Caenorhabditis elegans: one gene and its partner. The protein of the gene in region 2 purifies or fractionates together with the protein of the main gene of each other region. This does not show direct contact. Each region holds a gene or a part of one and is shown on either strand. Other genes may lie near its edges.

What was found. Proteins that work in one complex are often made in the same cells at the same time.
Region 1: the proteins of dnc-2 (region 2) and dnc-3 purify together in Caenorhabditis elegans (affinity purification with western blotting; 2 studies listed by BioGRID, with this or other methods). This does not show direct contact.

Annotation. Positions count from the first base shown.
Region 1 is NC_003280.10:3,551,815-3,555,201, forward strand, and holds dnc-3 (DyNactin Complex component), read left to right. Parts: upstream 1-1,965; 5' UTR 1,966-2,021; coding exon 2,022-2,093; intron 2,094-2,143; coding exon 2,144-2,266; intron 2,267-2,311; coding exon 2,312-2,422; intron 2,423-2,474; coding exon 2,475-2,575; intron 2,576-2,624; coding exon 2,625-2,733; 3' UTR 2,734-2,803; downstream 2,804-3,387. Other genes in the region: W10G11.19 (DUF4105 domain-containing protein), read left to right, coding at 1-96, 159-374, 956-1,322, 1,366-1,581.
Region 2 is NC_003281.10:5,924,131-5,927,888, reverse strand, and holds dnc-2 (putative dynactin subunit 2), read left to right. Parts: upstream 1-2,134; 5' UTR 2,135-2,157; coding exon 2,158-2,265; intron 2,266-2,322; coding exon 2,323-2,389; intron 2,390-2,434; coding exon 2,435-2,849; intron 2,850-2,899; coding exon 2,900-3,227; intron 3,228-3,283; coding exon 3,284-3,361; 3' UTR 3,362-3,491; downstream 3,492-3,758. Other genes in the region: zmp-1 (Matrix metalloproteinase-A), read left to right, coding at 1-105, 509-863; bcl-7 (BCL7-like protein), read right to left, coding at 1,094-1,377, 1,600-1,690, 1,738-1,803; C28H8.2 (uncharacterized protein), read right to left, coding at 3,492-3,545, 3,591-3,758.

The DNA.
Region 1 (3,387 bases), on a different chromosome or scaffold from region 2:
GCTTTTTTCGTTCAAACTAGATAATTTTGACGATCATCTCGAGGCAAGATTCCGTGGAAAATTCCAGAAGGATCAGGTTTATGACTGGATTTTGACGTAAGATTTTGACGTGGCCGTGGGGGATAAAACTCGGCCACCAAATGAAATTTCTCTTCCAGAACCAAGCAACCCGAGGTAAAACTGCTCAACGAGGAGCTGGTGCCGAGCTACCGTAGTGGAATGGTCCCAGGATTTGATCGCGCGCGGGAAACCGTAACAATTCTGTTTATTGACACGAAAAAGTCGCAGATTTGGAGGAATTACGCGAAATTTGCGCGGGAAAATCACGGGCGGTTCCATTTGACAGCGCTGGTGTCCGAGGAGGTCAAGAAATGGTAAGAATTGGTGGAGAATGTTGTTCAAAATTTGATTTTCCGTAACTTTCCGGGTCCTACCGCGAACGAAAATTTCCAACTACAGTACCCCACATGGTAGCTCACGTGGTGCCAGGCTGTCTCATTGCGGTTTGATCTACAAAAATCCAGGAATTTTTCCCCTAGCAAAGAGTGACGTCAGCACGTTCTTAACCATGGGAAATCAATTGAGAACTCTGCGTCTCTTCTCCCGCATTTTTTGTAGATCTACGTAGATCAAAAAGGAGACACTCTGACACCACGTGGTAGCTGAGAAGTTTTGTTCGTGCCAAGACCCAAAGCATGGATTTGATCGAAAAAATATTATGCCAGTCCGAGTTTTTAGTCGTAATCGCAACTTTTTGGGTCCTGCCGCGAACGTAACTTTCCAACTACAGTACCCCCACACGATAGCCAAATTCGTTCGTGCCAAGACCCAAAACTGGGATTTTGGCTAAAAATGTATTTTTTTTCAGAAGAAATTGAATTTTAACGAGAAAAATTGGTTTTTTTTTCCTGGAAATTTTCGAATTTTCCAAATTTCAAATTTCCCGATCTTTCAGGTCCATCTACCCTGCCTTCATCACGATGAAGCCCTATGACCCCTTCGTAAAAGCCTTCACACTTCATAAGGATCTCAACTGGAATCGAATGGTCGACTACTTGGAGGACGGTGTACACCCGGGCTGTCATCAATTGTCAAGTCCCTCCGATTTCCTCTTCGCCACCGGAACCCAGAAGCCTCTGGTCGTATTTTTCGACCCACTGGACTCTAAAAATTCTGAAGGATTCAAAAAATCTGCTGCCGAGCAGCAAAGCGGCGATCGAATTGCTCATTTTTCGGCTGTAACCGGTTTCGACCTGTTTGGACTGTATGTGATGAGCGTTTTTAATGTGAATTCCCCGAGCTATATTGTCATTCGGCGACAGGTACTTTCACTTTTTAACTTCAAATTAAATTCATTTTTTCCAGGAAAAAGGATGGTGCATCCACACAAAACCCGCTGAAAACGACAATTTCACTGGAATTCTTTCATGGGTTCGGAATTTGGAGCCAGTTCACTGCCAGGAGCTCATTGAAAACTTCAAGTTCCCAATTGCTCGTTTGAATCTGTTGGAGCGGTATGATGACGTGGAAGAGCTAGAGAAAGGGTTCACGGCCGTGGAGTGGACTAGGGACGAGCTATAGGAATTTTAAAAAATTGCTCTGTTGTAATTTGGTAAAAATAAATAATTTAATTTGTTTTAATTTGATGTTTTACAGATTAAAATTGCATTAAAAATTTATATTTAAGAATTAATTAATTTTCCCTGCTCGTCATTTTAAATGCCAGTTCCGCAGGTACACCGCCACGGTAGATTGCGGACAAAAGAATCCTTTTTTTAGCTGTTTTAAGGAAATAACAAGAAATTTCGATGAAAATTTTCAGTTTTAAGCTTTCATACTAAGATTTAATAAAAAACAGACAATTTTAATGTAGAATTGCAGGCGATATCCTAGTTTCCACACTGAAAATCACTTGCGCGTCAAATAAAATGCAAAGTACGCATTGACACCGTCACGTCCCATTGCACACAATTTCTCAATTATTATTTTTCTTTTTCGATCTTTTGATTTTAAATCTGAAAATGGACATGATCGAGCTTGAAAAAAAGATTTCTGAAATTGAAGAAGTTCTAGGAATCGATGATCTCACCACGGTAAGCTTTTTTCGCGCAATTTCCAATAAAAATGCCAATTTTTTTTCCAGAAAACATCAATTCCCTCTCAAATCGAGGCTCTTCAATCCAAATTACGAGATGATTGTAAGGCGAATCTGCTAATGTCGATTCCCATTCAAAAGCTGGAGCATTTGAGCAAAATCGCCACGGAAGTACGTTGGAAAAACTGAATTTTCTGTGAAAAATCGATTTTTCAGACATCCGGCCCATATGGATCGCTGACTGACAAAATAGAGTCTGTAAAATACGCGGAAAAGCTGATCAATGAACGAGCGGAACGGATTAAACAATTTTCAGATGCTCTTGAGGTCTTTTTTTGCGATTTTTCAGAGAAAATTGAAGAAAAATAAAAAATTTCAGCCCTGCCTCGACCAGGAGCTCTTCTCAAAAGTGGCTGCACTTCAACCGGAGCTTGACGCTGAAATCGAAAAATACGAGAAGGCCCTGGAGGACTGGACCAAGTAATTGCAGTTTTTAAAGCCTAAAAATCTGAAATTTCCAAAATTTCAGAACCTACGGAGAATTCCAGACACTTGTCGCCGAGCGGTCAATGATCAACCAAAAAATCACCGAAAAAGTGCTGGATCTGCAGACGAAAATCAACGCAAAAGCTAAATAATTAAATATTTTTTCGCTGGATTGTAATTTATTTTTATTTTCTTTGTTTTCCTGTAAAAATTGAAATTCTACAAGTTTTTTGTTAGACAGAAAGACGAATTGGCAGCAATTATCGACTTTTCGAAGTGGGCAAGATGATGACGTTGTTTCGGGAAATTGGAAAATTTGTTTTTTTCCAATTTTTTTCCTCGCAAGAAAAATAGTTTTCTCTCCATTTGAATTACTAGATTTTTCAAAAAATTTGAACTTTTCTCCGTGGAGCGCGCTTGCATTATTAGATTTTACGAAAATTTGAATATTTCTCAGTGGAGCGCACTTACACCTCACTTTTTTCCAAAATTTTTAGTAATTCTCGATGGAGCGCGCTTGCAGCAAGGTAATTTTCAAAATTTTCCCAAAATCTCTATGTAGCGCAGTTGTAATCCAAAATTACAGCTAATTACCAGTAGAGCGCGCTTGCATCAGTATTTTTAAAATTTTTTTGAAATCAATTATCAGTGGAGCGTACTTGCATCCCAATAAATTTCATATAGTGCCAGGCTGTCCCATTACAGTTTGATCTACAAAAAATTCGGGAATCAGCACGTTCTTAACCATGCGAAATCAGTTGAGAAACCTGCGTCTCTTCTCTCGCATTTTTTGTAGATCTACGTAG
Region 2 (3,758 bases):
TTATGTCATCTATGGAAATCACATGGTTCACGCACCTCTTCGACTTTCGGATATCGGAATTAATGAGAAATACGTGGATTTGGCTTATGAGTGGCATTATTTCAAGTGAGTAATCAAAGCAGTTAGTAAAAAATAAATATTGAGTAATGATAATTGTAGGTTCAGCGAAAATTCGAAAGTTCGTAAACTTGAAAAATCGTTACTTTTTAACATATTTGTTTCAAGTTTGAAATGTTACCAAAACGTAACACATTGCTAATCAAAAATACTCGGGTCTTGGCACGAACGAAACTTTTCAGATATCGTACCCGCGATCGTTTAGCAGCTTTTCACCGATTTACTTTGATACTTTGAAAGATTATCTTGGTGTTTAAAAAAAACATTTATTTAAATATTTCCAAAAAGACGGTACATAATACATTTTGAGAAACTACTCTGAGGGTACGGTAGCTGAAAAGGTTCGTTCAGGACCACAACTTAATAAAATCAAATATAATTTCCATTTCAGTCCGCCTGCTGTATACATTTGGAAAGGATCTCGATATTGGAAATTAGACGAGAAAATGTATCATCGAAGAGTTGATGAAAGGTATCCAAAAGATACTGATCTGAATTGGGCGAGAGTTCCAAAAGGAGTACATTCTGCCTTCACTTATGAAAAAGAAATTCATCTTCTACGTGGAAATCAAGTTTTTCGAATGAATTCATCCCGATCTGTATTTGATATTGCTGATGGATATCCCCAACCTTTACAATCTTTTTTCGGATTCTGCCCTCGCAATGAGAAGCTTGTTCTGAATTCTTCTTCTTCACATTTTTCTTTGATCTATGCAACAATTACTATTTTGATACTCATCTTTTAAGATTTAAATCTCTCAATGGCAGATTCACTTGTAAAAACAGCACTGAAATGGGTTTTATTTAAAGTTTTAACTTGTTATTTTAACTGGTGAATACAAAAAATTATTAAAAATAAATGTGATGAAACATGAAAATTTTTGAATTAATGAGATAAAGTTCGGAATGAATCAGGATTATATGATACAACATGAAATCAAAATGAGTACAGATTAGAGATCATTAGATAAAGATTTTATGGTTGTTTTGATGTCATTTCAGCGTCGCGCATCGAACTGAAATCCGTTGAACCAGTGGCTCCACCTTGATAGTTTTGTGGCTCGAAAGTTTGATTGGAGTCACTATCAAAGTGATCGCCAGTGGAAAAATTGGAATCTTCGTTGATATCGAATTGTGGTGGTGGTTGGGTAACGCTGGTGGAATCCTGGGAATTCTCAGCAGATGGGACTTGATTGCTCTCCTCATCCACTTCTTTGACTTCCTTGATCTTTGGAGGAGCCATTATGTTTTGAGCGCTCACTGAAAAAGTTGTATTGAAAGTTTGGTTTTTTTTTTGAGAAATTCAAAACTTTTATATAGCAGAATATGTTATTAATTCATAATGCAGAGTCATTGAATTGTATCAAAAATATAAGTGTGAAGTTTTTTTTTTAATAATTACTATTTTAAAAAAGTATTTCATATAAATTTATATATAAATAGTTTCTAAATACCGAAATACGTGTTAAAATAAAAAATTACCCGGAACCCATTTGTAGATCCGAATATTTGTGTCCTTGATAAGAACTAACTTCTTTTCCCACCGACGAACTTTTTCCAATGAGTTGATAACCTGAAAATCTTAATATCAGTTTAGTTTTGGAAAAGTTGATTGTTTACCTTTCGGAGTTCATCTTTTGAGCGATTTCTTGTTTCAGCGCGATGAGATCTATTTGCTGAGTACATCTGAAACTTAAAAATTTAATAAATTTACAGAAAAATAAATAAAAAGAACGAAATACAATAAAACTGTTTAAATTCGAACAATCGAACGTTTTTGCCAAAACTGAACTCTGTCGCCTCTAATCTCTAATACGTGCCGGTAGAGCGCAGTAACTCATTGTTGTGTGTAGTCCTCTCGGACAATCTAATTTACTTGTTTCGCAATCAATTCCACGGCCATTTTGATGTTTCTAGCACGATTTATTACTTTAACCTATCATACATTTTGTTTATTCATTTTTCTAAATTTTTGCCGTTTGATCCTAAATATTTTAAATCAAATTCTGTTTTCTAGAAACTCTCAAATCTTGCGTCAAAATGTCATCTATTGGAAAAGAAGATATCTACGAGTCTGACGGAGCTGCAAGTCAAGTTCAAAAAAGTGAACCTGAAAATGACAATCCAACTCATCCGGATATCGAACTGGTTTGTATTTAATTAATTTAAATAATATAAATATTTAGTGAATTCTGATTTTTACAGATTTCGGTTGACGTTGACGAAGCTCTCAAAAAGTACAAAAACCGGGTACTGAACTTGACTTCAAGCGGTAATTTTAAAATAATATTACTTATCATCTTTTTTTTAAATTTAGATTTTTCTGACTCGATTGCTAAAAAGCGGCGACACGCATTTGGAAACAATCAATACGTATTGGAAGTTACTGGTGCAGGATTTTCGGGAACCGAGACTGCAGCCGAAAAACTGAATCGCATTTTGTACGAAGTCGCCGATCTGAATGAACAAATTCGTGCTGATGAAAATCTTAAAACGGATTTGCTCAACGCTGAGGTTCTTGAGAATCTAGAGAAAGAAGTGAAAACGTTGCAAGTGGCTCAGTCAAATGGAAAAACTGCACGAGTTGAGCATGATGTTGAGTTACCAAATGTTCGCACTGACTCGAAAGTGGCAACTCTTGAAAATAGGTTGAGAAGAATCGAACAAGTTATTGGAAGTTCGGTTATTCCATCAGCTCCCGTACTTGACACCATTGAAGATCTCAAACTCAGGTGAGATATCTTAAATTTAAAAAAATAAAAACGTATGAAAAATGTTTGAGATGCGAAACGCTTAATCATTCGTATGTCTCCGGTCTTGAACAACGTTTGAATATGATGCTTACCAAACTTGAAAAAATCGACGAGACACGCGCCAACAATGATATCGACGAGAATCTTGACAAGAAAGTTGATGAAATTCTGGAGCTTATGCAAAAATGGGATGTCGCTTGCTCATCTCTTCCAAGCAATGTTAATAAGGTTAAAGCATTGAACCGTCTTCACGAACAAGTTCAACACTTTGCCGGTGGACTATCACATTTGAAAACTATCAGAGAAAAACTCGAAAAGGAAGTCGCGCAAGGAAGAGAAGCGATTATCGAGTATGAGGTGTGTTTTTTAATTGTTTCGAGGAATATAAACAAATTAAATTATTGAAATTACAGTCCCAAGGAAAGCAAGAAATCGGGTCAGTGGTTGAAAAGCTGAAGCTTCTCGAGGCAAAAGTGGCAGATTTGAAGTGATTTTATCGACCTTTCTAGAGAAACAATTCATAATTTATTGTGTACGGACAATGCAACATTAACTAATCTGTTCGATATATTTATGTGCTTTATTTTTGCTTTCCATATTTCCGAATGAACCAATCTCTATTCAGCAATTGAAGGCCATACTCAGATAACGAACTCCCCATCCGACATTCTCGTCCTGAAATTTTCATATTTCTAAGTCAGATTTTTCGCGAAAACTCACATTAACCGCTCTGATAATCATATGAAAATGATCTTCGAATCCAAACCAAGATTGTGATGTAACATGGAATTCAACCGTCATATGAGAAGAATCTTTAGTCATTATTGCAAAGATAATACGAATTTCAGGATTGTAATGAGTTCTTGTATATCTATCGAAATATGATTT